Mus musculus: one gene and its partners. The protein of the gene in region 2 interacts with the protein of the main gene of each other region in a pairwise test. Links are inferred from orthologs where the notes say so. Each region holds a gene or a part of one and is shown on either strand. Other genes may lie near its edges.

What was found.
Region 1: the proteins of Zbtb9 (region 2) and Lasp1 interact in binary tests that used the Homo sapiens proteins (3 or more experiments, as listed by UniProt). The two-hybrid records come from large-scale screens. The link is inferred for Mus musculus from reciprocal best matches to the Homo sapiens genes ZBTB9 and LASP1.
Region 3: the proteins of Zbtb9 (region 2) and Eif4e2 interact in binary tests that used the Homo sapiens proteins (3 or more experiments, as listed by UniProt). The two-hybrid records come from large-scale screens. The link is inferred for Mus musculus from reciprocal best matches to the Homo sapiens genes ZBTB9 and EIF4E2.
Region 4: the proteins of Zbtb9 (region 2) and Ehhadh interact in binary tests that used the Homo sapiens proteins (3 or more experiments, as listed by UniProt). The two-hybrid records come from large-scale screens. The link is inferred for Mus musculus from reciprocal best matches to the Homo sapiens genes ZBTB9 and EHHADH.
Region 5: the proteins of Zbtb9 (region 2) and Pin4 interact in binary tests that used the Homo sapiens proteins (3 or more experiments, as listed by UniProt). The two-hybrid records come from large-scale screens. The link is inferred for Mus musculus from reciprocal best matches to the Homo sapiens genes ZBTB9 and PIN4.
Region 6: the proteins of Zbtb9 (region 2) and Tsr2 interact in binary tests that used the Homo sapiens proteins (3 or more experiments, as listed by UniProt). The two-hybrid records come from large-scale screens. The link is inferred for Mus musculus from reciprocal best matches to the Homo sapiens genes ZBTB9 and TSR2.
Region 7: the proteins of Zbtb9 (region 2) and Dtnb interact in binary tests that used the Homo sapiens proteins (3 or more experiments, as listed by UniProt). The two-hybrid records come from large-scale screens. The link is inferred for Mus musculus from reciprocal best matches to the Homo sapiens genes ZBTB9 and DTNB.

The regions. Positions count from the first base shown.
Region 1 is NC_000077.6:97,823,462-97,827,455, forward strand, and holds part of Lasp1 (LIM and SH3 domain protein 1), read left to right. Parts: intron 1-1,380; coding exon 1,381-1,488; intron 1,489-3,994. UniProt on the Homo sapiens protein: Plays an important role in the regulation of dynamic actin-based, cytoskeletal activities.
Region 2 is NC_000083.6:26,971,787-26,976,366, reverse strand, and holds Zbtb9 (zinc finger and BTB domain-containing protein 9), read right to left. Parts: upstream 3,189-4,580; 5' UTR 3,053-3,188; intron 2,812-3,052; 5' UTR 2,745-2,811; coding exon 1,365-2,744; 3' UTR 164-1,364; downstream 1-163. UniProt on the Homo sapiens protein: May be involved in transcriptional regulation.
Region 3 is NC_000067.6:87,220,260-87,224,253, forward strand, and holds part of Eif4e2 (eukaryotic translation initiation factor 4E type 2), read left to right. Parts: intron 1-660; coding exon 661-795; intron 796-3,994. UniProt on the Homo sapiens protein: Recognizes and binds the 7-methylguanosine-containing mRNA cap during an early step in the initiation. Acts as a repressor of translation initiation.
Region 4 is NC_000082.6:21,766,981-21,770,974, forward strand, and holds part of Ehhadh (peroxisomal bifunctional enzyme), read right to left. Parts: intron 3,541-3,994; coding exon 3,436-3,540; intron 1-3,435. UniProt on the Homo sapiens protein: Peroxisomal trifunctional enzyme possessing 2-enoyl-CoA hydratase, 3-hydroxyacyl-CoA dehydrogenase, and delta 3, delta 2-enoyl-CoA isomerase activities. Catalyzes two of the four reactions of the long chain fatty acids peroxisomal beta-oxidation pathway.
Region 5 is NC_000086.7:102,117,879-102,122,546, reverse strand, and holds the start of Pin4 (peptidyl-prolyl cis-trans isomerase NIMA-interacting 4), read right to left. Parts: upstream 3,079-4,668; 5' UTR 3,026-3,078; coding exon 2,983-3,025; exon of another isoform or gene 2,817-2,982; intron 880-2,816; coding exon 806-879; intron 1-805.
Region 6 is NC_000086.7:151,093,593-151,098,027, forward strand, and holds the start of Tsr2 (pre-rRNA-processing protein TSR2 homolog), read right to left. Parts: upstream 2,952-4,435; 5' UTR 2,921-2,951; coding exon 2,837-2,920; intron 2,664-2,836; coding exon 2,573-2,663; intron 1-2,572. UniProt on the Homo sapiens protein: May be involved in 20S pre-rRNA processing.
Region 7 is NC_000078.6:3,595,983-3,599,976, reverse strand, and holds part of Dtnb (dystrobrevin beta), read right to left. Parts: intron 3,329-3,994; coding exon 3,115-3,328; intron 1-3,114.

The DNA of each region.
Region 1 (3,994 bases), on a different chromosome or scaffold from region 2:
CTATTTGCTTTGAAATTCCCCCACACTCTTGGTGGGTCAGGCCATCTCCTGGCTGGGATGCAGGCTGCTAACACTCAGATTTGGCAAGGGCTTTTTTTTTATAGTTGTAGACAGGAAGAGTGTAGGGCTAGGAGCCCAGCATCCCTATGTCTCCGGACATGTGCTGCTAAGCCATGTGACCTTAGGCAGTAGAAATGACATTTTTAAAAAAAAGTGACTCCCCCACCCCCCAACTATTTATTTATTTATTTATTTATTTATTTATTTATTTATGGTTTTTTGAGACAGGGTTTTTCTGTGTAGCCCTGGCTATCCTGGAACTCACTCTGTAGATCAGGCTGGCCTTGAACTCAGAAATCCGCCTGCCTCTGCCTCCCAAGTGCTGGGATTAAAGGAGTGCGCCACCATTGCCCAGCTTATTTATTTTCTTATGTGTTTATTTTATGTATGTGAGTACACTGTAGCTGTTCTCAGACACATCAAAAGAGGGCATCAGATCTCATTACAGGTGGTTGTGAGTCACAGTGTGGTTGCTGGGAATTGAACTCAGGACCTCTGGAAGAGCAGTCAGTGCTCTTAACCAAGTTGACCCATCTCTCCAGCCCAGAAATGACCTTTTTACTCAAAACTTTATTTTGGCTCCCTCAGAGACTCTAAGAGGGCTTCAGACCTTCTAGAGCTGGAGTTACAGATGACTGTGAGTTGCCTCATGGCGCTAGGGATTGGACCTGCGTTACGTGTCACAGAGAGGTGGGCAGTCTGGTGTCTGTTTTGAATGTCCAGTTTGTTCATATGCCCCACTTTAAGAAGAAGGAAAGAAACGTGAACGAAACTAACAATCTAGCTCCAAGCCAATGCCGCAGCTATCTAGAGACAGTTCACTCCCAGACAGTGAGTGGGTAGAGTTGGCACGAGCAGATTGTAAGTCCTATGCAAACCCAGTTGGTGCACAGCAAGCCATCACGTCCATGTTCACTACCACTGCTCGCACCACCATGCCCAGCTAATGCTCTCTTTGGGTGTATTTGGATGTCAGGATTTTGAGCCGAAGTGACTCCATCTTTGTTTCCTTTCTTTTGTGTTCTACGTAATTATTGCAGGTCCTCTGGAAGAGCAGCTAGTATTTGTAACCATTGAGCCATCTTTCCCCTCATAAGATACTGCTTCTTTATAGGCATTCAACGTGTGGCCTCCCTTTAGAGCCCTCTGGATATGACTTAATGGGGCTATTATTGCTCTGACACCTTCTGTCTTAGGCTTCTGCATTGTGTGTACGTGTGGGTGTATGGGGGGCTTGTTTCTGACCAGGGGCCTCAGGCCGGGCAAGCTCATCTTCATGTCCACCTGAACCCAAGCTCTCCTTTTCCTCTTGGCCTCCAGGTGCGCTACAAGGAGGAATTTGAGAAGAATAAGGGCAAAGGTTTCAGCGTGGTGGCAGACACGCCTGAGCTGCAGAGAATCAAGAAGACCCAGGACCAGATCAGCAATGTGAGACCCTGCCCTGATGCCCAGGCTACCCTCTGCCCTCCCTTCTCATCCTCTCCCTGACAACCTCAGCAAAGGCCCACGCCGCAGTGGTCAGATCAGAGGCAAGGGGGAGGGAGTTGAGGTACCCGGGAGCCTTTTCTTTGTTCTCCCTCTTTGGTGGGCACTCTGCCCAAATGGCATTTCCTCCTTAAAGAGACTGCTCTTTTAGAGGCAGACAGATAGACACACAAACACATACAGAGTGTCTAAGTCACCTTCCATTCTCTGGAGCAGACCCCGTTCCCTGGTCATGGTGGGGATGGGGTCGGAGTGCAGATTAGATGCTTGTTTTTAGCACCAGGGTCAAAGCTGGGGTTGGGGGTTGAGCCTCCTGTCTGCCTCTGGGTGCTAACACAGCAGTCATTTCCGCCCTCCCTCGACTGCCTCCCACCTCAGTTTGTTCTTCCTTCCTGTGTGAAAACCCAGCTGGCTTTGCCCACAGGCCCTACACCCCCTCCAGGCCCTTTCAGGCCCAGTCAGGGACTGGTCATTGGTGTCTGGTTGTGAGACATAGGCGTGGAGAGTGGGTGGCGGAGTGACTGTCTCTATATGGTTCTGTAGAGCAGCTGGGGTTAGGGATCATCGCTCAGTTCCACCCTTACATAGCCGCAGACCAGCAGCTTGTATGGCTCCGGGTTTGCAGGGGCCGGGTTGGGAGTATGTGGGTAGGTGCTGCTGGGCGTGACGTCACAGAACATGGGCACAAGCCTGAATGCCGAGTTATAGAACATGCCCCGTCATTGGCAACAGACTCCTTATAAATGAAGGATGAAGCAGGCCGATACGATACCCTCGTGTCTATCACAGGAAAGGGTCTACCAGTTTGCCTGTGTCATTCTGGGCTGAGGGACTAAGGATGGGGAAGACAGGATCCAGATTCAGGTGGCTCGCCTTGCACACACCCTCCAGGATCATCTCTCCCCATTCTGTCGCTGGACAAGTCTCATAGCTCACTGGTCTGCGCCGCCCCCCCCCCCCCCAAACACCCGGCACAGAAGCACCCTCTTGCAGGGTGGTTAACGCTCTGATTCTGCCCTCTGTCTTGTTTAGTGGCACACACCTGTAACTCCCAACATTTGGGAGGCTGAGGCAGGAGAGTCATGGATTCAAAGCCACTTGAGGCTGAGGCACGATCAAGAGGTTGAAGCCGTCCTGGGCTTTATAATAAAACACACGCATGCGCACACACACCCTCTTTCCCATGCACACGAAACAAAGAAAACTTCTTAAAGGAGGGAGGGCTGAAGTTTAGTGATAGAGCGTGCACAGGGCCCAGAGTCCCCTCCCTCGCACTACAAAGAGGAAGCATAAGTGACTGCTTTTTGGGGGGGTGGGGGTGGAGGGGGGACTTGGAAAGTTCATTCAGTATTTTCTCTTGTTTCATTAAAAATGCTGGGGGCAGTCCAACCAAGTGGGCTTTGCAACCCAGTTGTTGGGCTGAAGTTTAAAATGAACAGCCTGTTGAATGACTTCTCCTGAGCTGGAGGGCCTGCCTCAGAAGGCTGCAAACCCTTCTTGGCCCCCCAGGAAAGCCTGCTGCAGTTTGCCCTCTTCCAGTCTGGGCCTGGCTCACACCCTGGCGTTTCCTTTCTGCCTCAGATCACACAAAGGGTAAAAGGGTGTGCCCGGAGCGCCTCAGATCGAAAGAGGGGAAGTGGTGTGGTCTTGGGTGATTGGGAAACTGGGATGGCTCACAAAGGTGGAATCATGTGGCTTTGTGTCTTGAGACGCTTCCGGTCAACCTTTGGGACATTTCATTCATTGATTTACCGGGTTAGTTTGGAAGAGAGAAGTAGCCCTAGCCATCTCTGCCTTACTTTCTTGGAAGGTTTCCCGAGTGTCCTAACACCCAGTCTCTTTCACCTACCTTCCTGCACCCTGTTACTCGACGTTGGGCACATTAAATGCCTGAGGAGTTCTGGTAACAAAAGCCTACAGTAGCCACCGTATCTACACTACCGATAGCATCTTATCAGCCTCTTCGGAGAGGCAATTAGCTGATTGCCTTGGTTCGAGGCTGGGGGAGGTGCTTTGGATCTGCCTGAGCTGGCAGGTGTAAAAGCCGGAAGTCTTTCTCCTGGTTTTAGGGAGTGTGACCAGGGTCTGTCTCTGTCAAGAGTCCCGCACAGTCAGCTGGGCTGCAGAGCTCCAAGGAAGAGGGCTTAGCATCCACAAGGACCCATGGGTTCAGTTTTCTCCATACACAAAGGATCCCCTTCTGTCATCTGGGCACTGAATGAAAACTCAGGCCTCTGTCTCCCAGCATTCCAGATTGGCACCCCTGGACCGGAGCCTAACATTCAGCATCATCAGCTTGCCTCGGGGCTTACTGTGGTACCGACTGAAACTTATCGCTTAAACTCATACGGTCTTACCAACCCCTAAGTCCGAGGACACTGGGCATGACTATGTCCCAGAACCCTGAGGGAACTTTAAACCACAGGCAGAACTGTGGCTTAGTTGGGCC
Region 2 (4,580 bases):
CCCGAGTCCAGGATAGCACTCTCCATGTCAAGTCTCTGATACCAGCTCACTCTTCTCCCATTGATGTAACTGGCTGGGAAAGGAACACACTCATCTCCTGCAGCTCAGCTCTCCTGCAGCTCAGCTCTGCATCTCCACAGCACTCACTCAAGCCAGTCTACTGTCAGTTTAGATTTCAGGGCAGAGTTTATTAACAACCTTAAATTTCCCTTCACCTCCATTCTACTATCTACCCCTCTACCTCTACCAAGTGTGGGTGAAGAAAGCAGTACGGTCCCATTGTAGCTCCTCTGCAGACTTCACCACGTGTGGTTTCAACCCTGAGTTCCTCTAAGCAGGGCGATCTGCTCAGAGAGCAAATGCCACCCTGAGAGCTTTGTAGGTCACCTGCCATCTCCTGAGTTCGTGGGTCATATCTGTCATTGTGATCATAAGCAAGTTATCAGTGGTAGTGAAAGGCGGACAAGGTGAAGGCTGCTGAGGGAATACACTCTACTATGGACTTTCAGAATAGAATATGAAATGCTCAGTTTGCTAAAGTGCTCAAGTACTATTTTTACCCCTAAAGATAGGGTCTCACCATGTGTAGCCCTGGCTGGCCTTGAACTTAGAAGAGATCCACCTGCCTCTGCCTCCTCTGTGTTGTAATTAAATGTGTGCACCACACTTGTTGCATGTTCAAATACATTTTTCTTAAATGTATGAATGCTCTGTCTGCATGTATGCCTGCATGCCAGAAGAGGGCATCAGATCCATTTTAGATGGTTGTGAGCCACCATGTGGTTGCTGGGAATTGAACTCAGGACTTCTAGAAGAGCAGAGTGCTTTTAATAACTGAGCCATCTCTCCAGCCCCACTCAAGTATTTTTAAAAGGATATTTGGGAAAGGTGTATACTGGTGAGAACCTAAAAAGCATCTGGAAAATGACAGAAAGTACAGAAACAGAATACTGCTAACAGGGAGGGAGAAGCCGCTCAGACCTTAGTCTGGCAATTACTTGAGCTCTGAATCAAATGCATTCCTAGTTGGAGACCAGCTCCCTCTCCCCCCCATGAAGATGAAGTTAAGAGTTACTGGGTGACTATGCCCCAACTCCTCTCTCATTAATCTGAGCTCAGCAGTTCCTTCACTGGCTATCAATACAAAAAGGGCCATTTAGGTTAAGTGACCAGAAGCATGATTTTCTAAAGTCTGTCTAAACCTGGACTACCAGGGTGAGACCCATACCCAAGAGTAAGGGGTTCATGACAATATATATAATCTCTTGGAATGATTATACAATCCAGGACTGAGGTGGTGAAGGTAAGAGTCCAGCAGCAGCAGGGGCTATCTTGTCCTAGAAATCACTAGAGAGCACCAGTAGTCATTTGTAAGTCCAGTGGTAAGTGGGCCAGCCCTGGCCCTTGCATAAGTCCCGGTGGCGAAGGAAGAAGGCCTGGACACGGAATCGACGGCCACAATGGGGACACGCATGCAGAGCTCTCGCATGGGTCTTCATGTGCTCTGTTAGATGATGCTTCAACTTGAAACGTTTATTACAGATGCCACATCCAAAAGGGCGAAGGCTGAACGTCAACATGATGTGTCGGTCTCGTTTCGGCTTTACTGCAAACCGTTTTCCACACAAGCAAGCAAAGCACTTCCCATCTGCAGGGGGTGTCCCTCCTAGCTTCACAGGCCCATGCATAGCCTGCCCTGTTCCTCCAGGTCCTCCATCCCCTGACAGGATTTCATTCCCATGAAGATCCACTGGTTTCCACGATGGATCTCCTGCCCCAGACGATTCCCCTCCTCCTGAGGACAGCAAGTATCTCAGCTCCTCCTTCTCCTCAGAGTCCTCTCCAGATAGTACTTTGGTCTTTTCCTTTGTGCCTCTTGCTATCTCCTCCTTACACTCAACGTTTTCCTGATTCACATATAAGATTTGGGAAGCTTGTACAGGAGGGGCAGGAGGATCTACTGTTGAGCTCTCATCCTCTGAAGGCTTGCTGGGAAGAGCAGGTGTAGGCAATGGGTGGGATCCACAAGCTTGGGAAACCCCTCCCGACACTCTCTCCGGCTGAGGAGTCTGAAAGAGTGGAGCTGCTGACCCCTGCTCCTCTTCCTCCTCTACTTTCACCTGAATCTGTAACATTCCTTCTAGTTCACTCCCCTCCCCTCCAGCGGGGCTCTCAGGGAGAACAGAATTCTCTGTAGAAGCAGAGGAGCGTACTGGGTTCTGGAAAGGGGAAGAGCGAATGCACCAGCCTCCTGAAGATGTTGTGGAAATAAGTGTGAGGCTGGAGGCTCTTCCACCGGCTGAAATCCCACCAGACGTTTCTAGTTCTCGAAGAATCTCTGAGCACCGATCTACCACTTGCCACATCTGAAGGCCGCTGGCTACAAGGAGATGGGCAGGGAGGGCATCCAGCGGCAGGTGGAGGCTTCCTGAATAAATGAGCTGAAGCAGTCCCTCGAACGCATCGGCCTCGATGACATTCGGTAAAGTCAGTCGGGGCGCATCCCCCAAAAGCAGCTTGTCATGGAAGTAAGGAGAGGCAGCAGCCAACACTGCTTTGTGAGCCCTAAGTTCCCTGCCCTGAACCAGGAGGGACACATCACAGAACTTTCCCTCCAGCCTGTGGCGGTTCAGGGATTCCAGCAGCGAAGAGCTATGATGAGGGAACTCAATGTGGATTGTCTGTGGGGCTGGGTTGCATCTCGGAGATGAGGATGCGGGAGGCAAAGGAGTCGAAGCATCCATGGCTACCTCGGGAAGAGAAATAAATCCCGGGGAGTCGGGCAGTGCAGGGTTCTATACGGGGTGAAGGCTGCGGAGGAAAGAGACTGGGGTCACACAAGTTCGGGGTATGAGACCTGTCTCAAGCCGCTCGCCACCGACCCTTGAAAACTCTTCGGTGACAAGCTTCTGTATATTAGTTCCGCCCACCAGGAAACCCAACAAAACACCAGGGTTTACACCTCCAGGCCCAGCGGAAGCTAAGGAGGGAAGGGATGGCGCCCCACCTCGCCGGCTCCGGTCGCCCTCCGCCACCGCTCGCCCCTCCTCACCGTGCTCGCTCCGGCCGGCTCAGTGAGCTCCGGCCCCGCGACGTCCCACCGACACGCCCCCACCGCACGCGCGACCGCGTCGGAGCACCTCAACCGCCAGTGCGCCTGGCCGGCCGGAAGCTACCGCAGTTCCGCCGGACGCCAATGCGGCCAGGCACGGAGGGCGGGACCAGTTCTGCAGCCAATGGGAGAGCGGCAGCCTACAAGCCGTCTCCTCATTGGCTGTGCGGACGGAGGGCCGGGGCTTGGGGAGGGCGGCGGAAGTGGAAGGCGGTTCCCTCAGTTCTGGAGTAGCAGTGAGGGGAGCCACGGGCTCCGCAGTAAGGCTTGCTTCCCTCGTCCCGCCGCGCGAGGTAGGTGCTGCTGCCCTCCGCGTGCACGCGGGACAACCGGGTCTGAAGTCTGGAGCGCACGCTTGCTGAGGACCTGGGTCCTTTCCTCCATTTCGCAGAGGAGCGTCCTCACAATTAAGCCCTAAGTCAAGAGGGTCTTGCACAGACCCTGCACTTGGAGTCTTTGGGGCGCTAAAGCGAGTCCAGTGCTGCGGCGGAGAGAGAGCGGGAGTGTGAGTTTCACCAGGAAGACCCTGCGGTATATATTGTTCTCCTGACTGGGTGGTATAGTGTGTAATGTAAGAGGACTGTTCTTTCCAAAAGTAGTCCCTGTCACCCTTCAGGTCGTTCTGGAGACCCCGGGCTAAAAAGTCGGCCCAACGCCGGGGGAGGCAGCACTTAGTCCCAGCACTTTGGAGGCAGGGGCAGGCAGATCTCTTGAGTTCAATCAAGGCCACCCTGGTCTACAGAGTTCCAGGCCAGCCAGAGCCACACAAGGAGACTCTCTGTCTTGAAAATCCAAAAATAAATAAAAGTCAGCCCAGTGATAAAAGAACAATCTCCGTTTATTAAACATGATTTTTCTGTTTCACCACACACTCCAGAAAAGAAAAGAAAAAAAAAAAAAGGAAATGGGCCTGGGAGTGGGAGAAAAGGGGGGGCAGTGGTGGGGGACCAAGAGTCTGGGAGCAGGGGCAGGAAGGAGAACGAGTAAACAAACAGCAAAAAAAAAAAAAAAAAAAAAGAGTAAGAAGATCTTCTCCCTACTCTTAAGGTGGTGGGTGGGGAGGGAAGTGAGGGGTGGGGCTAGGGAGCCAGGAAGCTCTGTACAGAGGGGTCGCCTCCCAGCCCCCCTCCCCAATTATGTACAGTACAAACCCCAGATAATTACAACAGCCAAAGAGGAGGGAGGAGGTTCAAGGGTAAGGCCTGATGGGGAAAGCAGAGGAAAGGGCATGGGATAAAATTTCACATATTTACAACTTTTATATAAGTATAAATTTGGCCCCGGCTGGGTGGGTGTATGTAGAGGGTTAGACCGAAGGAGAGCTGTCCATACAAAAGAAAGATCGAGTCTGGAGTCTGGGAAGAATTCTCAATACCAAACGCAAGGAGTGAAGAGACAAGGCTGGGTAGGGGGCAGCAGTCAGAGAAGAGGGGGTACCCGGGAGGGGTTTCTCCCCTTCCATGGCCTA
Region 3 (3,994 bases), on a different chromosome or scaffold from region 2:
GAAGGTGATAAAGAAATACACTTTAAAAAAAAACAAAAACAAAAATCCACAGTCTGGTTGTGTAGCCCTGACTAGCCGGGAACTCAGTCTGATAATGAAGATGATCTCTGACAGTTTTCTGTCTCAGCCTCCCAGTACTAGGATAAAGATTGTGCCACCACATCTGGTAGGAGTGGCACTGTAAAATGTTTATTAGGAATCAGAGAAATGGCTCATCAGGCACAGGCCTGATGATTAAGTTCAATCCTCAGATCCCACAGTGAAAAGGGAAGAGCCAGCTCTCTGAATGTTCTCCTTTGAGCTACACACCATAGCATACATGCTCTCACATTCTGTCTGTCATACACATGCATGATAGTAATAAGCATAATTTTAAAAATCAAGGTGCTGAAGAAGTGACTTAGTAGTTAAGAGCATTGCTATTCTTCCAGAGGACCAGAGTTTGATCCTCTGCACCCATGCCAGATAGCTCACAAACCCTCCTCTGGCCTCTGCAAGCACCCATGTGCACGAATGCATGTGTGCATGTATACATACACAAATAAAGTATATAAATGTGAACATAATATAAACAATCCAATAAAATGGCCTCTCAGCATTGTGACAATGAAGTACAAGTTTGCTGTGACTGTGAGCTAATGTTCCTTCTGCACTTCCCAGGCTGTTGTCCCTGGACCAGCAGAGCATCCCCTGCAGTACAACTACACCTTTTGGTACTCGAGGAGAACCCCTGGCCGTCCCACCAGCTCGCAGAGCTATGAGCAGAACATCAAGCAGATTGGCACCTTTGCCTCTGTGAGTACTTAGTTGTTTGCTGAAACATCCCTTGGTCTGGTGCTCCTACCAGCATTTCTGTTGCTGTGTAGCTCCTTTCCTAGTAACCTACTAAACACTCTAGTTTCTTTACTTGGCTGAGCTGTTTCCCCAAGGTCATGTTTGTTCAGTCCTTAGGTCAGTTGTTAGACATCCATAGGTATGTGCAGGTAATTTATGTGTGGGAATGGTAGCTCTGATCAGAAAGGCATATACAAAAATTAAAAGGGGTTTGGTTTGAGGATTTTTATTTTTATTGTAGCAGATATTTATTGAATCTTTATATACAGAGAGTCATAAGAGAGACAGTTTCATTGTTTATATTATCTGTCCTCATAAAATTGGATTCTGATAAAATTATTTTTGTGGCTGCCATCAATACAGTTGTTCAGGCTCCTCACCCCAGCCCACCCTTACCTTCCCTCCTGTCTCTTTACTACATTTGTAAATGTGGAGACCCTGAGTGCAATTAACACCAGTATTGTCTTGTTGACCAAAGGTTTTCCTGCACCCCTATATGCGATAGACATGTTTAGTCTCTGTGCAGAATTGGTTTTCTGACAGTTTTTGCTGTGTAATACGAGGCTGGTCTGGATCTTGCCACAGTTCTGTCTTAAGTGCTGGGATTATAGATGTGAGCTAACACACAAGCCATCAGTTTTGGTTGTCTACTATGTGAGAATGTTAGACCAGTTTCCAAGTACAGTTGCATTGCAGCCTTTATGTTAGGAACAATTGGTTAAACATTAGGATCAGAGAAGGAGCTGGGAAAGGCATTTCAGGGTTCTGTTAAGTTACATCCCCCCCCCCCCCTTATAACATTAAGAGGTTTGCCATCAGCACTCTCAGTATTCAAAATAGAGCCTGAAGTCTGCTGTCATAATTCATGGCATTAGGAAATGGTCTGTAGTGGAAGCAGTTGGATCTCTTGAGTTCAAGGCTTCCAGGTATACAACTAGAGCTACTCAAGAAACCCTGTCTTGTTGAAAAACCTTAAAGGAAAAATAGAAAGAAGGAAGGAAGGGCCTGTGATACTAAATCCCTTCCGGAGAATAATGATAACGTGAGGCTCTTCAAATCCAAAGCTGTAGTTCCAGTGTTTTGTTTTTCAAAGTTTCTTTTCTTCTTTTCCCTCCCACTACACCCTCCCCTTCCTTACCTTTTTAGAAACACTCTCATTATGCTGGCCTAGAAGTCACTATTATAGACTAGGCTGGCCTTGAACTCACCAAGGTCTTCCTGCTTCCGCCACTATTATCTGGCCTAAAGGTTTATTTTTCACTTTTGTTTACATGTTTGGGTATATATGCATACGTGCTTGTGGGTATCTCAGAGACCAGAAGAGGATATTGGGTTCCCTAGAGCTGGAGTTAAGGTGGTTATGAGCCTTCTGCTGTGGGTGCTGGGAATCAAACTCCAGCCGTCTGGAAGCATAGCAAATGCTCCTGACCATTGAGTCATCTCCTCAGCCCCCTCAGATGGCTTTTTTTTGTTGTTGTTTGTTTTTCCGAGACAGGGTTTCTCTGTGTAGCCCTGGCTGTCCTGGAACTCACTCTGTAGACCAGGCTGGCCTCGAACTCAGAAATCCGCCTGCCTCTGCCTCCCAACAGATGTCTTTCCAAAACTTGCACTGTAAGCCACAAGTAATATTTCCTGACATGGAGTAGAGGCCCAGAGAGGACCTCTAAAGCCATTGCAGCTCATGTTCTCATCTTGAATTCAAGAAAGGATCCACTCAGCACAGAGCCAAGGACCAGCCCAGATTGTGATCGTGTTTGTTTTGCAACAGGGGCTTGCTAGATCTCAGCCTGGCTCAGAACTTGTGATTCTTTTGCCTCAGCTTCCTTGAGCCATAATCCACATTCCTGGCACTAGAATGCTGCTCTTGCAGATTCCCAGGTAGCTCATGACTTCCTGCAGTGCCAGCTCCCAGGAATCTGATATCTTTTGGCCTTGTGGGCATGTGCACATAGACACAGATAGATACACATAATTAAAGATAAGATAAATCTTTAAAATAATAAGACATCTTTCAAAGTTTAATGGTTGTTTCTTTTTATTTATTTGTGTGCATGTGCGCATGTGCCCTCCCACCACCACCACTACCACCACCACCCAGAAGCCAAAAGAGGATATTAGATCCCCAGATGTTATAGTTATAGGCAGTTGTGAGCCACCCAGTGTGAGTGCTGGGAACCGAACTCAGGTCCTCTGGGAAGAGCAGCAAGTCCTTTCAACCCCTAAGCTATCTGGATTTCCAGCCTCTGGGCTTTTTGTTTGGTTGTTGTTGTTTTTGTTTGTTTTCTATGCAAGGTCTCACTATGTAACTCCATCTGGGTGATCCATGTCCCCTAGCTCCTGAATACTGGGATTATAAGTATATAAACATATTTGAAAGAAAACTATAAATCTAGTTTTCTTACGTTCAAGGTAAATAAAGAAGAGACATAATCTTTCCAGCTGAGAGGAGGGGTAGAAACTCTAGATCTAGTTCAGCCTGGGCTATAGTGTGAGGCCCTATCTAAACAAAATAAGAAAATTAGATTTGGCTCTACAAGTATATACATGTGAGGCCTTGTGTTTCCTGACATCCCTCAGTATAAAAAGTTTTCAGTTGTGCAAAGAGCTGGCGCTGTTATTACATGAGAGGTGGTACTTGTCAGCGTGGCCTCCTTTGCCACCTCAAGCTGCTAATGGAGGCCAGCAGTTTTCATAAACTGTTTTTTTAGATTTTAAATATTTTATCTGTATTAGTGTTTGGCTGAATGTATATCTGCATCACATGTGTACAGTGTGCATAGTCTGAAGAAGGTATTGGATCCCCTGGAACTGTCACTCACAGATGGTAGTGAGCTGCCACATGAGTGCTAGGAAATGAATCTGGGTCCTCTGGAAGTTAAACCAGAGTACTTGGCCCTGAGTCAGCTCTCCCGCCCAGTTTATCCTTGTATTGAAAGTGTTGTGCGTTGTGTTTTATTTTGTCTTGTTTTGTTTTTCTTTGATTAAACTGTATTAGTCAGGCATGGTAGTGCAAGCTTGGGAGGTAGAGGCAGGAGGTAGGTCAGTTCAAGACCAGTCTGGGCTACAAGAGACCTTGTCTTAAATAAATAAAAACCCTATATGATAGTCTTCTTTCTACCCTGCTCCAAATGAAAATGTATCCCCTAAAGAAGGTACCTGA
Region 4 (3,994 bases), on a different chromosome or scaffold from region 2:
AAGAATTGTAAGTTCATTGATAAGGACTTACAGTATAGTAAATTGATTTTTAATACAGGAGAAAAGATAGTCCACATGGCAAAAAGAGTCTTTTTTTTTTCCCCCTTCCCTCCAAAAGGTGGTGGGATAGCTGACTACAAAGGTGGGATAACTGACACACAGGTAGGAGAACCAGACACACAGGTGGGAGAACTGAATACACAGGTGGGAGAACTGATACACAGGTGGGAGAACTGGATACACAGGTGGGAGAACTGATACACAGGTGGGAGAACTGATACACAGGTGGGAGAACTGGATACACAGGTGGGAGAACTGATACACAGGTGGGAGAACTGATACACAGGTACTAAATAAGTAAATGAACTCTGTTCCCTGCCAAGCACCCACCTCAAAACCAGCCATAATTTCACTGAACTCTTAATACTATACATTTTTCTAGGGGGAGGGCCAACAAAGGAACTTGAGCTAGGCACCAGAACCATATGGTTCTATAATCTTCTTAATTCAATGAGATGATTTTAAAATCAGATAAACATGCACTCATGCATGCGCAAGCACGCACACACATACACACACACACACACACACACACACACACACACACACACACACACACACACCCAATTACAGTTACCAAAACTCAGCACCACATAATGGGTTCTAAGAAGATCTACCATCTCAAGAATGAGCCATCATAGCATAAAAGACAAAACAAAACAAAACAAAACAAAAAACCGGAAGGCTGGACCAAAGCAGACTCAGCCAGGCTTGTGACCACTTCTACCCTTGGTTCTGCTCACAAATTTTTACAAAACAAGGGGGTCATACTTCAGACAGACACAAATGTAGTCCTCTCCCACACACCCTTCTGCCAACTGTGCAGGAAGAGATTAGCAGTCTGCCTAAAGAGACTCAATGTGTACCTCACATAAATTGTTTCCTTAGAGACAAAAGACTCAAGACTCCTTTCCTCTTCCTCTGACCCAATGTGCTGCACCCATGTTAGACTCCACAAATGACGGAGAGAACAATTGCCTATCGTCAACTCTAGGAAGGCCACTCACGGCCCGAGGCACCTCAACAGGAGGCCTCCTGTGTGGGTCAGGCCACTCCATACCTTGGAAATATTCACAGACAGACAAAAGGTAGATTACAAGGAGCAAGCAGTAAAATGAAAAGCAAGACCAAGGAAAGCACTAGGAAAAAAAGGAAAAGGAAAAACATCCTTGGCTCCTCTTGTCTGTCTGTCTGTCTCTCTCTCACACATACACACCAACACACCCCCACACACCACTTACCACTCAGGCAGAGCCTCACCACAGAAACACTTGTTCACCACAAGCAAGTTACATACCTCCATCCACTCTTCTCAACAAAGTTTTCAAACCATCACAAAGAATTGCCCCTAGCCAGAACCTTAGGCAACTTGAGTTTTAAGGCAGACGATGGCTCAACGTTGGGGTGCCATCAAGTGGACAAACTGTAATGTTGCTGAGACCAGCATCATTTTGTTTTATAGACTTTGGGGTTTAATGTTTAGAATTAACTTTAAAAACCAAACCAATAAACACCCTGGACCATAGTGTAAGTGTGATAGACCTTGGTTCTAATCCTGTCTGAAGCACTCAACCCTCGAAGCTGAATTCAGGGAAACCAGGGAAGGACAGAACTTCCTATGGGAACCCAGGCTGCTACAAATGGAAATCAATAGTGGCCTGGGGCGCTCTCTGCAAGCAAATTATACAAGTCGGTGCCCACAAGCCAAGCAGCCCTCCCTGGGGCACAGAGACACAGACCAGTGATAGTAGCCTGGGAGGCAGAGCGCCACAGGGAGGCATGGCGCTGCAGGGAGGGTGCTTCCATTGCGGGCAGGACTTGCTGACTCCTAGTTAGAAGGCAGCAGCATTTTCCCATCGATACCTCCTCTTTGTAGTGTGAGTGCCACTGTCACACCAAACCTACAACTAGTTGGACCATAAAAAACAATTTCAAAAACTGGTCCCTGCCAGGGGCATGCCTTGGAGTGGCCCGAGCCTTCCGTGTCACTAAGTGGAGTCCGACAATCTTCATGAGTATTTTCTTTTCTTTTCTTTTTTTTAATTTTTAATATTTTTTATTACGTATTTTCCTCAATTACATTTCCAATGCTATCCCAAAAGTCCCCCATACCCTACCCTCCCCCACTTCCCTACCCACCCATTCCCATTGTTTTGGCCCTGGCGTTACCCTGTATTGGGGCATACAAAGTTTGTATGTCCAGTGGGCCTCTCTTTCCAGTGATGGCCGACTAGGCCATCTTTTGAAACATATGCAGCTAGAATCAAGAGCTCCAGGGTACTGGTTAGTTCATAATGTTGTTCCACCTATAGAGTTGCAGATCCCTTTAGCTCCTTGGGTACTTTCTCTAGCTCCTCCATTGGGGGCCCTGTGATCCATCCAATAGCTGACTGTGAGCATCCACTTCTGTGTTTGCTAGGCCCCGGCATAGTCTCACAAGAGACAGCTATATCTGGGTCCTTTCAGCAAAATCTTGCTAGTGTATGCAATGGTGTTAGCGTTTGGAAGCTGATTATGGGGTGGCGTCTCCCTGCTCAGAGGCTGCAGCCGCCATAAACTTTCCCACAGAGGTTGTCAAGTCATTTGGCTTCTGTTGTGATTTTTCTTGAAAGAAGGCTAGTGAAAACTAAACTCTGGCTTTACACTCAGCTCCTGGTTACGTCCTCAGCAACGGTTTCAATTTTTTCTAGCTTTAAAGGCGCAGCTTGAAGTAAAAAACAAAAACAAAACAAACAAACAAACAAACAAAAAAAAAACTAAACTAAACTAAAACAAAACCCAATAAGCCATCTATCAGTAGGTGGTGCTAAAGGCACACTTGAAGGAATACCGCTGGTCTACAAGCCAGCAGGGCCAGAAGTCACTTGCCCAAGACAGAGGCTGTGCTGTCTCTGAGAGCCCTGCAGAGCCTGACCAGCTACATACTTGTTCCTCTGTTTCAACTTTAATTCTAATTTTCAAGCAGGAAAAAAACCACTCATAGGGTATAAAATCCCCCAAAGCACGGCAGAGTAAAGTATAGAGCATTGCCTTTGAACTTCAGCAAATGTCCAGTTCCACTCCAGAAAGAGTCATTCCCCTGCCTGTGAACGCTTCCGACATACACAGAAGTTATGCATACCCACTCTCAACATATTTACCTTCTCTTCCACCCCCACCCCCTTGTTTCCTTACACCATCCGCAAAACACCACTTAAAATAACATTGTTTTCGTTAGCTGATACAATATACCATGGAGTTTATGCCAGATCAATGCAGTTTAAAGCTTGGCTACATTCTATTAAGTGAATGCCCCATCAGTTGCTTAAGGAGTTCCTTATTAGAATGCATGTTTAGCTTATTCCTAATCTTGCACTATTTTCTATTATTGTTTACCTATAACCGTCTGAGCAAATTTGATGGCTTCTTCAACTGGGTCTGACTTTACAACTACATCCAGAATTCCAAGCTTGAGTGCTTCATCTGTTGAAATATGTCTTCCTGGATCAAAAGGAAATAAAACAAATCAAATAACAGTGCGAGGACCCACTGGGGCATTGCTCTGTCTAGTGGGGAAGGTTGCCATTCCTGGAGATACGAACTGGTAAGTGAAATGCCTAAGGCCAACCTGGCTACTGTACTTGGTGATTTGGTTTTGAGACTGGGTCTCACTATGTAGCTCTGGCTGCCCAGGAACTCCACACATAGACCAGGCTGGTCTCAAACTCAGAGATCCACTTGTCTCTGACTCCTGAGTGCTGGGATTAAGAGGTATGAACCACCAGGCCCAGGCTGAACTATTGTGGTTGAACATCCCTACAGATGTGGCCTTCTTTGAATTAAGCGGTAGCTCTGATTCTTACTGTTAGAGAAACCGCAGGGAACTGTGCGAGGACTCCAGTTTCATCTCTGATAAATGGAGGTAATTATGCTTACCATAGTAATTCTGAGGATT
Region 5 (4,668 bases), on a different chromosome or scaffold from region 2:
GTAGTACAGTTCTGTTTGCAGACACTCCCATGGGATTGGTTGCTTAAGCGCTTCCAGTAATAATCTGGGGACTGTGATGGTTTGTATATGCTTGGCCCAGGGAGTGGCACTATTAGGAGGTGTGGCCCTGTTGGAGCAGGTGGGATACTGTGGGTGTGGGCTTAAGATCCTCACCCTAGCTGCCTGGAAGCCAGTATTTTGCTAACAGCCTTCGATGAAGATGTAGAACTCTTAGCTCTGCCTGCATCATGCCTGCCTGGATTGCTACCATGCTCCCTCCTTGATAACAGACTGAACCTCTGAATCTGCAAGCCAGCCCCAATTAAATGTTGTCCTTTATAAGACTTGCCTTGGTCATGGTATCTGTTCACAACAGTAAAACCCTAACCAAGACAGGGACTATCTCCCACCCATGGTCAAAGTAACAAATGTGTGTGCATGTGCATCTGGAGGTCAGAAGATAATCCTTTCTAGGGTGCCATCTACCCCCTTTTTCGTTTTGAGATAGGGTCTTTCACTGGATTGAAACTCACCAACTAGGCTTAGGTCTTTTCTCAAGCACTTTAATGACCGAGGCTGAAACCCCAGTCGCTAAGTTAACACATTTAAAGGAACAGTGCTAGAAGTGTGAAAATTCTACCTTTTAAAAGTGAGACTGGTTTTTGGTTTCCAGTTTTGTATCATCTTGAATTTAACTTAGTATTAAGCCTCATAGATAAGGACAGGTTACTCACACTGTCTTTTCTATGCATACCCACTTACTAATACTTTACATGGAAAAGAGGAGACACATAAGATAACTCACCTTTACTGCATTGCCACCACCTTTAGGACCCTGAGACTTCTTGTCAGCACTGTCACTCCCAGAGGCTGCACCTCCTTTAGAAAAGAGAGGATAGGAACTCATTTCGACTGTACTTTGACATTTATAGATAGGTCCAACTCATAACACAAGGTAACCCATCCATTACAGCCCCAAGTTCCAAAAGGCTACATGGTGAGTCATGCAATCAAGTTAACTTACTCTGTGACTCATCTCTAATAACAGGAAATGTGCCGAACAAAATACTTCACAGAAAACAGATAAAGAAATGAGTGTGGGCATGGATGCAGGCACTCCAGAAGCCTGGGCCAGATTCTTTAGACTCCATTCCAAATCTTGCCTTCTAACTTAACACTGCCATTATATAAAATAATACAATTTCTATTATATTCTGTGACAGTGTGTTTGACACCTGAAATTCTAACATGCAAAATCTCCAACAATGCATTTTGAGGGGTTTGGTTTTATTTCAGAGTGCTTGGTGTGTGTGTGTGTGTGTGTGCATTCTTTTCCCCTTCAGTCTACCACAACAGCTACTGATATCCTCCTGGAATCTGCTACATTCAGGCTATCAAGCATTGGTAGCACATCTTACTTCTTTTAAGTTTTGTGTCGAAGGCAGCATATTAAGTGTTAGAGGCCAAGGTGTCTAAGATTAAATTAAGTATTTAGTTTAACAACTGTTTCCTAAATAATTCCCCAGTTCAAGTTCTTGGGGGTACACAGTGAATAGGATTCAAAGCCGCAGCCAAGGAGCTCGTATCCCAGTGAGGAAGAGAGACCACATTCTGAGAGTCCGACAAGCGAGAAATTGTGGAAGGGAACACATATGTCAGCTAGCCAGGTACCACCTGATGGATGAACAGGAGCTGAGCAGCTAAAGGACAGTGTACCCCTGGTGACCTCACACTCAGGTCCTCCTCAGCCTCCCACTGCTGTGGCATGTCTCTGCAGTGCCTCACCCATTTCTCAGACCTTTCTTTACAACATCTTGGTTCCTTGGACCTCTGGGGTATCACTCTACTACACTCCATTTATTTGTCTCTTCTCTGGGTTCCTACAACCACAATCTTAGTTCAGGCCAACTCTCTCTCTTACCAGAACTACTGAAATCATCTCTCTCTCTCTCTCTCTCTCTCTCCCTCACTACTCTCCCCTCTCTGTTTGTTTGTTTGTTTTTAAGACAGGGTTTCTCTGTGTAGCCCTGGCTGTCCTGGAACTCACTCTGTAGACCAGGCTGGCCTCGAACTCAGAAATCCACCTGCCTCTGCCTCCCCAAGTGCTAGGATTAAAGGTGTGCGCTACCGCTGCCCGGCTTGAAATCATCTCTTTAAAGGACCTCCTGGCCCCTAACCAACCTTAATTAACACCATATACAGCACACCTCATGATTTAGTTTTCTTCTGTTTTAATTTCCCCAACTTGCTTATTTGTTTTGAAGTTTTACTTCAGCGATGCTATACTAAACTGCCTTTGGGGCTGGCCTCTCCGGGTTGAGGACTCTTTACCCTATTGCTGCTGCTTATCTCAGCCTGCCCAAAGTATCTCCAGTTTGTTTCTTTACCCTCTTTCCACCTTCTATAACATAACTCTCACAACTACATTCGGCACAGTACTTAGAGGCTACTATCTTCCCCACATTGTCCAGCGATGAATAAGAGTTGTCTTAGTTTTCTAGCCTGAAAGCACAATGTTGTCCCCAACAACGGTCTTCAAGAAGCGAGTCCCTCCTCATGTGTGTGTGTAGGGGAGGGGAGGGGGGGGGAGGTACGTCCTGTTAGTTGTTAAGAGGCCTAGATGGACTAGATTGATCACTAGTGTAGGCTTCCTTTTATTGCTGGCGTTTCATCAGATTCAATTTTAGTGGGAATAAACCCCAGGTCACGAGGAACCATCCCCAGCAGCTTCTATTGCCCGCCACGAGGGTCCCTGCACTGAAACCTCATGGATACCCTGAACCACAGCAGCTCCTCACGCACTGATCTTTCCTTACCACAAGAAGCCCAAACATAAACCACAGCGGCTCAGGGTGCTCCCGGTGGCCCTGCTGTCCGGCTTATGATCACCTCCCTCCCCCACCCCACACAGCTGCAGGTCTACTCCTGTCCTTCTCCCCATCCACCCCTACGCTCGCTCCATGACTGTCTCGGCAGGTCTACCTTTCCCTCCTTTTCCAGAACCACTTTTCCCCTTCGGCGGCATCTCTTAAGCTGGCGGATGAACTCTCCGGCAACTGTTCCGGTGCTAGCAAAAGGACCCCTCAGGCCCCACAGGTATGTCCTCCGCAATGCCTGAAAGCAGCGTCACAATCAACTATTTCTGCTGCGGTTCCAGAATCAGGCATAGCTTGGAACAGACCCAGTCCTTTGGTTCTTTGACCTATAGGAGCTAGAGATGTTAGACCAATGAGAAGCCGAAGCCTTACGGGGAGGCGGGAACAAAGGTTGCCCAGAGACGAGAAAGCGCAGCCTCTATTCTGTTCTTCAAAGCTTTTACTTGCCCTCATTTGCACTTGTTCTTTGCTCTCTCTCGCCCCGCCCACTTTTTTGTGCATGCGCAGTGCGAGCCTCAGGCCACTGCAGTTCTTTGGCGTGGGCTTTTGCTTTGGGGATTCTAGACAAAGGGACAGCAGAGGGAGTTTAGATAATGGCCTTCTTCCGTCCTCTCTCCGACTGACACAGACCTGCACTCCCTAATGGCTTTTCTTACTTACTTGTTTGTTTATATTTTTGCAGCAGTAGTTGATGGGGTACAAAAGATGGAATTTTTTTTTTAAAGCCTATCATCCCATTGCCTGTGACAGGCAGAAGTCTGTCATGGAGAAACATTGGAAGCAGCCTAAATTAATTTTAAAATAACGATTATAAGCTGTGTGTACAGAAATAGCCTTAAGGAAGATTATAGACCAAGATGTAGAATGTGATTTTTTAAAGTTATATATCCTGGAGAACATAATCTATGCACCTAAAAGACAAACAAGGCATTAATGCTGTTCAGCAGGATAGCATGTGACCACTCGTGTCAATCTATATAGTATTCATGTCTCTGTATTTTTCCAGAGTTCTTTTCTTTTTTCCTTCCTTCCTTTCTCTTTCCTTCCTTCTTTGCTTCCTTTCTTTTTTCTTTTGATACAGGGTTTCTCTGTATGTAGCCCTGGCTGTCCTGGAACTCACAGAGATTTGCCTGCCTCTATCTTCTAACTGCTGGGGCTTAAGATATGTGCCACCACCTTCCAGCTCAAAGTTTGTATGACAGCACAGCATAAGGCAATTTAAAGCTTGGATTCTGGAGGCACATGACCTGCTTTAAAACCCCTTCTACTAGTCCTGTGACCTTGAAGACGCTCTTGGGCTCAGTTTCCATCTTCTGCGAGATGGTGTTGTTAAAGTATCTGCTTATGGAGTATCATGAGAAATAATTTCATAGTCGATGACTAACTGGGGGCGTTTACTTAAGATGAATAGCTTTTGAATTTGCATCCCAATGTGCTCTTGATCTCTCTTTCTCACTCAGTCTCTCTTTTTGAGACCAGGTCTTGCTTAGTAGCCTAGACTGTTCTGGAACTTACTATGTCCTCCTGCTTCTGCCTCTCAAGTGGTGGGAATCATGTGCCACTTGGATACATTTTTCTCTTTCCCCCACAATCCTCCCCTCCTCTACCAATAATTTTCGTATATGACATCTTTCCCTCTATTCCATGAGATCACTGTCCTATCTTGGCTATCTGACTCAGCTTAGTTTTTGTCTGTTTTTGCAATACTGGTGATCAAATTCATGGCCTCACCAAGGCCAGGCAAGAGCTTTATGGTTGAGCCACACCCCAGGCTAAAATTTTGTTGTTGTTG
Region 6 (4,435 bases), on a different chromosome or scaffold from region 2:
GAATAAAATAGCAGCTGGAAGAAAAAAGCTTCTATAATTTGACTGGAGAAACATTTTCTTCATTGAATATCTAACGAGACAAGTCTTTTATAGCTTGAATTTTACAGACACTGGCTTTCTATCTCTATAAGCAAAGTCACAGAAGGCCTTTTATCTCTTACCCTTTAGTCAGTGTCTCTGTACACACACACACACACACACACACACACACACACACACCATTCTCTACCACTCTTCCATCCCCTTAATATAATGCACTTAACTCCTTTGAGTACATGCTTTATCATCTCTACCTAGTTTCCCCCTTTTCATTCCTTAGGCCTCACTCTAATCGCTACTCTTAAGAAGGCCTCTTACTGACCAGTGGTGGCGCGCACACCTTTAATCCCAGCACTTGGGAGACAAGAGACAGGTAGATCTCGGAGTCTGAGGCCAGCCTGGTCAACAGAAGAGTTCTAGAATAGTCAGTGCTACATAGCGAAACCCTGTCTCAAAAAAAAAAAAAAAAAAAAAAAACCCAAAAAACAAAAATCAAATCAAAAAGGCTTCTCCTCAGGCTCAGTTAACTGAAGAATTCTGAGCTCCTCTTTAGCATAACACACACCACCCAGTATTTTAACTATTCATTTACTTACCTGAAATCACTCACTAGATTGTAAATGTTGAGCTGTGAATCTGCCTAATACCATCCTCAAAACTAGGATATTGGGGGCTGGAGAGATGGCTCAGTGGTTAAGAGCACCAACTGCTCTTCCAAAGGTCCTGAGTTCAAATCCCAGCAACCCCATGGCGGCTCACAACCATCTGTAAAGGGATCTGATGTCCTCTTCTGGTGTGTCTGAAGACAGCTACAGTGTACTCATATAAATAAAATAATCTTTAAAAAAACCTAGGATGTTAATGAAGAGTTAAAAAAAAACAGCATGCAATACTCTAAGTCCTCTTGTTCTTTTATACCCCACCAAGACAAAATGGAAGTGTAGAACTTTTGTGTAGAAGCAGCAGCATGTGCTTATCGAGCACAAGCACTTAGAATGTGGCTGGTCACAAATGAGACGTACTAAGACTTTTAAAATTCCAGATTGTGCCGGGCGTGGTGGCGCACGCCTTTAATCCCAGCACTCTGGAGGCAGAGGCAGGTGGATTTCTGAGTTCAAGGCCAGCCTGGTCTACAGAGTGAGTTCCAGGGCAGCCAGGGCTACACAGAGAAACTCTGTCTTGAAAAACCTAAATAAATAAATAAACTCCAGATTGTGAAATTTAATACTAAAAGTGAAAAATGCTTAATTCTTATGACATACTAAAATATTTTGGAAGAGGATTTTTGTTGTATTTATTTCATGTGCATGTTGTTTTGATTGCCTGTGTGTGCACTGTGTGTACCTGGTGCCCAGATAAGGACAGAAAGATGATATCAGAACCCCTGGAACTGGAGTCATAGATAACTATGAGATACCATGTAGGTGCTGGGAACGGAACCGAGGTCCAATGCAAGAACAAATGCTCTTAACTGCTGAGCCATCCTTTCAGCCCTGTGTTACTTATTTGTTAATTACATGTATGTGCATGCACATGTGTACAGATGAGGAACATTTTGGATCCTCTGGCGCTGGAGTTACAGGTGGTTGTGAGCTGAGAACCCAACTCAGGTTAGGAAGAGCAGGACGCACTTTTAACAGCTGAACATTTCTCCAGCCCCTTCTTTTATCATAAGGACAACTTGGGGATATGGAGCTTGAAACTTAGAGCAATTCCCCTGTCTCCGTCTCCCTGGTGCTAGAATCACAAACATGGCCCATATGCTAGACCTTGGATATGAATTTAATAACACTATAATATTTGCTTCTTTCATTCATTTATTCATTTGTGGTAGTATGAGTAGTGTAGAGCCTCACATGTGTGTAGTAAGCAAGCACTTCCATTGAGCTATATCTCCAAGTCTTTATATTATTTTTATTATGAGACAAGGTTGTGGTGAATCTGAACTTGAGGTCCTTTTGCATCAGGAATATGAGAGTACATGCCTGCACCACAGGGCCTGGCTGCCTTTTATTTATCAGAGGTACTGCTTTTAGTTTTGGTGGCACCAGGGTTGGAGCCCAGGGACACGAGCAGACTAGGAAAGTGCTCTACCACTGGGCTACACTCCTCACCCAACAATTTTAAAATTATATTTACTTGTGTAGGGAGAATCAGAGGACACCTTAAGCGTGTACCAGTTCTCTCCTTCCATGTTGTCCCAGCTATGAAATTCGGACTGTTATGCTTGTTGGCCTTTGTCCACGGAGCTGTCCCCCACCCCTCATCCAGCAATTTTAAGTTACAAGATATGACTCGAATAGTTCTTTTCGTCGGATCTTTCCATAACCATTTTAGAAAGTAGGAAAATGACTCTCTGGAAGGCAAAATGCGTTCTCCAGCATAATAGCATTTGAGTGTCATTGCCTCTAAGGCACTCTAAAGACACAATTCTGATCTCAAAGTCACGATTCATTCATCAAACGCGGGCTCTCTACGTCGAGGCTCTGCCACGCCACACTGCGACAGACAGCAACACCTCACATTCACTCACCATTGGCGATGAAGTAATCCTCCACTGCACCCCCTAGCCACTCGGCCTTCTCCTGGCTGTGCACGCCCCCGAAGCCATTCTCCACAGCGATCTGTGAACACAGGCCCAAGCCAACCATGACAGCATGGAAACCAGAACGGCGTGGCCTGCCGGGGCCTGGGAGTCTGCCGCTTACACCGCCCAGCCATGGCTCTGGCGCCTCGCCTGGTCAACTTCTATTTTGTCACAGCCTTAATCGTGACCCCCCGCCAGGACCTCACTTACCTGTAAAGCAGGCCAAGCCTCCAGCGCAGCTCGGACTGCAGCTCCGAAGAGCACACGCACATCTTCAGCGGCGCCCGCCATCATCCGTTTAGATCACGTGGCTCCCAGGCAGCCCAATCGCTAGGGCGACCTCACCAGGCAAAAGGAGCCAAAAGCCGATTCTCAGAACGTGGTTTAGTTTTCTGCCAATCTGGCTGGCAGCAAGACCAGAACAGTGGGAAACGCCATCAGTGGTAGATGCTACCACTTACCACAGTAAATCCTAATAATTAAAGGAGAACCTGGAGCAGAGTACTTAGGAAGCATAGCTGAAATAAAGAGGAAAGGAGAAAAGAATAGCGAGGGCGAGAAAACCTACATTTGCGAGGCTCAGCAGATAAAGGCAATTGCCTCCAAGCCTGAAGAACTGAGTTCAGTCCCTGAGCCCTACAGGATGGAACTAGAGAACCGATTTCTGCAATTTCCTCTCACCTCCACATGTGTTACACGGCATTCACAGGCGCAGGCACTCCCACACACAATAAATAAATGTAATTTTAATTTTTTAAAAATAATTATTTTATATATGTGAGTACACTGTCACTGTCTTCAGAGACACCTCAGAAGAGGGCATCGGATCCAATTGCAGATGGTTTTGAGCCACCATGTGGTTTCTGGGACTTGAACTCAGCTCAGGACCTCTAGGAAGAGCAGTCAGTGCTCTTAACCGCTGATCCATCTCTCCAGCTCCAACAATTCATTCTTGAGTCAAATATGAGTGACCATGTCCAGGATTCAGGTTGTCCAGAAAGATATTTTCTTTTGTGGAAGTGGTCAAATGACATTTTAGTAGTTACAGAACAAAGAAAGTCCTAAGTCAAAGCATTTACTAAATCTATTGATAGAGACTACAGGTAGTGGGATGAGGAAATTTCTGCTTAGGTTTCAGATACTGTCTGATGACATTCTTAGCTTTTGGATTCATAGATGCTCGCTGTTAAGTATGTATTTGAAAAGTTGTGATAACCACGAGATTTCTCGTTCAGATTCAAGGGAAGACAAGGAATTGTTTTCAATGGGATTAAAAGTAGCTCAAGGTCATTTGTCTCTCCTCTGTAACATTTTTACTCACCCCAACCACAAAGCTCCGTCATTTGGTCCTATAGAACGGTCCATACAGATGTACCTGTTCTTTTCTCTAGGAACTTCAGTTTCCACTGTGTAGCCATGTCTGGTATTGGACTCTTACCACACTCTCCTAAATTCTAGGACTAATCACACACCACCACACTTAGCACAGAATATAGATTTTTCTGAAGTTCACAAGAACATTCTCCAAGACACACCATGTAGTATTCCACACAACAGCGTTTAGTATGTTTTAAGGACTAAGGGCTGATAATGTTTCTATCTACCTTGCCAGCATACTGGGGTCCTGGAGTTTCATCCCAAGACCACAAAAGAAAAAAAAAAAAAAAAGAAAGACTGCAAAGCAAAATTAGAAATTAGTAAGAGAAAGAAACATGTGAAATCCATAAATTTGTGTAACCTTATGGACTCTATTTTATGGAAATAGGTCAAAGGACAAAAACAAAGGGAAATTGGAAAACACTATGAAAT
Region 7 (3,994 bases), on a different chromosome or scaffold from region 2:
ACAGCCTGAGGAAAGGCAGCCAGAGCCAGCCACTGCAGCAGCACAGGGCTGGCATTCCTGCAGACTCCTGGCATCACGGACTCTCTCAGCCTGGTATCTAAGACACTAACATAGAGGCAGAAAGCAGAAAGAACGTTGTATGTAAAAGCCCCAGAATGTAAGCCTAGCAAGGAATTGAGGCAGCCCTGCTGTCCCTGCATGCCAGGAACATGAATTTCCCTGCTCGACCAGAGCACAGGCCATCAGCACCTGTGGTGTGAGGGACCGTGGGGTTGAACATGAGTTCGTCAGGGTTTCCAGCGCTCCCTGTGGTTTCCCCTCTGTCCCACACACAGACACCTGTACGGTCCAGCGGTTCTTAAGTTCTCACGTAGTACTTAGAGCTCTCACATTTAAAAAACAATGAATCCTCAGGAAATATTCACTTGGGCTGGTGAGATGGCTCAGTGGGTAAGAGCACCCGACTGCTCTTCCGAAGGTCCAGAGTTCAAATCCCAGCAACCACATGGTGGCTCACAACCATCCCAAACAAAATCTGACTCCCTCTTCTGGAGTGTCTGAAGACAGCTACAGTGTACTTACATATATTAATAAATAAATCTTTAAAAAAAAAAAAAGAAATTATTCACTTAAGGAACAAAATCCAAACCCCAATTGTTCCTAATCTGTGTAGAAGTTTTATCATCTACTATGCCACTGAGAAATCATTTAGACAAAAATACTAACTATAAATCTGGAGGTGAAAGGAGTTAAAATTAACTAATTACTGAAGTCAATCTTTTTTTTTTTATCTGAGACAGGGTTTCTCTGTGTAGCCCTGGCTGTCCTGGAACTCACTCTGTAGACCAGGCTGGCCTCGAACTCAGAAATCCACCTGCCTCTGCCTCCCAAGTGCTGGGATTAAAGTCGTGCGCCGCCATGCCCAGCTCTGAATTCAATCTTTAACCTTGGAGAATTATAAATACAAAGTATGAAAGACTCGACTAAAATAAGTAACTAGATAATCCACACATCAAAGGAACTGCCCAGCCTAAATCATAAAAGTGCCACTCAATAAAATGGCTAACATGAGGATTTAACACTAAATGCTCTGATATACAGATATACAAAAACAAAGTCAAATTATCAGATCCCTAGTTATTTCCAGTATAAAGAAGACAATTTTAAATTTCTGGAGAGATAAATGATTCTTATCATATATAGATCTGAGTTAATAAAGATGTGAATAATATATTCTGACACCCTTATTGATCTGAAAATTACCAAGCTCCCCTCTAGCACAGCACATTCCTGCCTTTCCTCGGCCCCTCTCTCTGCATTTGCTAGTTGTTTGGCTTGCTCATTCAGACATGTTTCCCCCTCCCCCTCCCCCGCCCACCTCCTCTCTTTTGGCAGGACCTGGATTGAACCTAGGGTGCTCTACACAGCACCAGCCTTCTCTGTCTCTTCTGATAAACTATCTAGCTATTCTCTGTGTGTGTGTGTGTGTGTGTGTTGCACACAAGTGTGTGTGTTAGTGGTGTGAGGCCATGCATGCACACACAGAAGCCAGAGGACATCGGGAGACTGTATCCTTCTTGCCTTGAGACAGGGTCACTCATTGAGTCGGAAGCTCACAGCTGTGCTAGGTTGGCTGGGTAGCAAGCTCTCAGCACCCACCTATCTCAGCCCACCCAACACTGAGGTTATGGCCATAAGCAGCCACATCCTTCTTTCTGTGTAACTGGTGGGATTCAAACTACAGCTCCAGGATGACGGCTGGGAACCACAAAGCCTGACATTTTTAAAGTTGGCTCTGAGATTATGCTGAGGTCCTGCTTTTGCCACACTTTTCATAAAACTGAGCCACCTCCCCAGCCAGAATCAGTGTTTTTAATCCCCACTCACCTTTCGAGTGGTAAGGTAATTTTTATTACTATATTTTTAAAAATTGTTTATTGATCTGATTTGTGTTGTGCAAGCCTGGAACTGGCTGAATCGCTGGGTTAGAGACATGATGAGATCTACAAAGGGTAGCAATTTCTACCCTGGGTTCTAGATCACGGAGTATGAGATTAATGTTTGGATTCATAACCCTATTTTTTAAATGACTTTACGATTCTGGGACTTTTACCTGTTATAGACTCTTATTTTTAAAATTCAAATTTCTTTAAGTAATTTTCTATCGAATGGGTAAAAATATCCAACTTGCAACATAAATATATTATGGCTCTGGGGAAAGCCTAATGCGTGGCCTGGCTTTGTCCCACCCATACTTTCTCACTAACTCACTGAATCTCTGCTACTGTAACATGCAACTATTACCATTTTACTAGCTTATAAATTCAACATAAAGAGAAAAAGACAGGGCTGGAGAGATGGCTCAGTGGTTAAGAGCACTTACAGCTCCTCCAGATGTCCTGAGTTCAATTCCCAGCAACCACATGGTGGCTCACAACCATGGGATCTGATGCCCTCTTCTGGTGTGTCTGAAGACAGCTACAGTGTACTCATATACATAAAATAAATAAATCTTTTAAAAAATAATAAAATAAAAGAGAAAAAAACACAAAGCAGGGAGCATTCCCATGCAAATCCAGTGGTAACACAACACCAGAGAGAAGAAACAGGAACTCTTGGTTCCTGGAGCAGAACCACTTCTCAGCATCCCATCCCTTAGGATTGGTTTGCTTTGGTTTTTTACAGTAGAGGAACTCATCTCCATTTTAATTATGATACGCTAAGGTAGTTTCCCGCTCATGTTGTGAGGTCTACCGAAAAAGTCTGAAATAGATTCTTAGAAGTTTATGAAGAAAAAACTTCAACTCAAAGGCATTTGGTGTTACAGAGTAGAGAAAGATAGGTTAAGCGTTTCTTATTCCTTGGGAACAGGCCTATCATTTCACCAGACAGTATGACTCAGGTGGGTGAGTCTCCTCCACTGCATCTACAGTGGAGCTCCAGCTGACGCACACCAGAGGACAGTGAGTGGCTGGCTGTCCAGGATGCAGGAAGGGCTTACACTGAGCAATTCACCTCAAGTGCGGCTCTAGGCTGACAAGAGTTAGCAAGGCAGGGTGAGAAACGGGAGATGAAGAAAAGGGCAGGATTGAAAGGAAGTGAGCAGGTACGAGCCTGTCGTAGGCGGCGACCATGAAATTGAGTAGGAGACTGATGGACTGCTCCACGCTGATCTGGTGAGTAGAAGGAAGGCGCTTGTTCAACTGATAGTAGATGGACGAGATGACGGTCTCCAGGCGGGACACGCTGATCTCCGTGCTGTGGTCCAGCGTGTTAAGGCCATTGTCTCGGAAAGCTTCGATCATATTCCAGATATCAACAAGATGAACTAAATCAAAGAATATAAACTGTCAGAAATTTTAAAGGACAGTGTCACCTCACAACTGGACATTTAAACTGATTGACTCATTCCACCTGTATTAAGTAATTGATGCTTTGAATCTTTGTAAATAGCGACCCCTGTGACCTCTATCAGCTGAGAGTACAATAGAAAAAGTATACCAAGAATTACTCTTAAGAACGTCCCCTTTCAAAACAAATTATTGTTACATTTACTTATTTGAAGCATGGGATGTTGTTACGTATATGCCGGATGTATATATGTAATGGCACACGTATGAAAGTCAAAGTACAACATTTAAGAGTTGCTTCTTGGACTGGTGAGATGGCTCAGTGGGTAAGAGCACCCGACTGCTCTTCCGAAGGTCCAAAGTTCAGATCCCAGCAACCACATGGTGGCTCCGTAATGAGATCTGACTCCCTCTTCTGGAGTGTCTGAAGACAGCTACAGTGTACTTACATGTAATAAATAAATAAATAAATAAATCTTTAAAAAAAAAAAAAAAAAAAAGAATTGTTTCTCTCCTTCCTTTTTTTTTTTTTTTTTTTTTTTTTTTTGGTTTTTCGAGACAGAGTTTCTCTCTATAGCCTTGGCTGTCCTGGAACTCACTATAGACCAGGCTGCCTCAAACTCAGAAATCTACCTGCCTCTGCC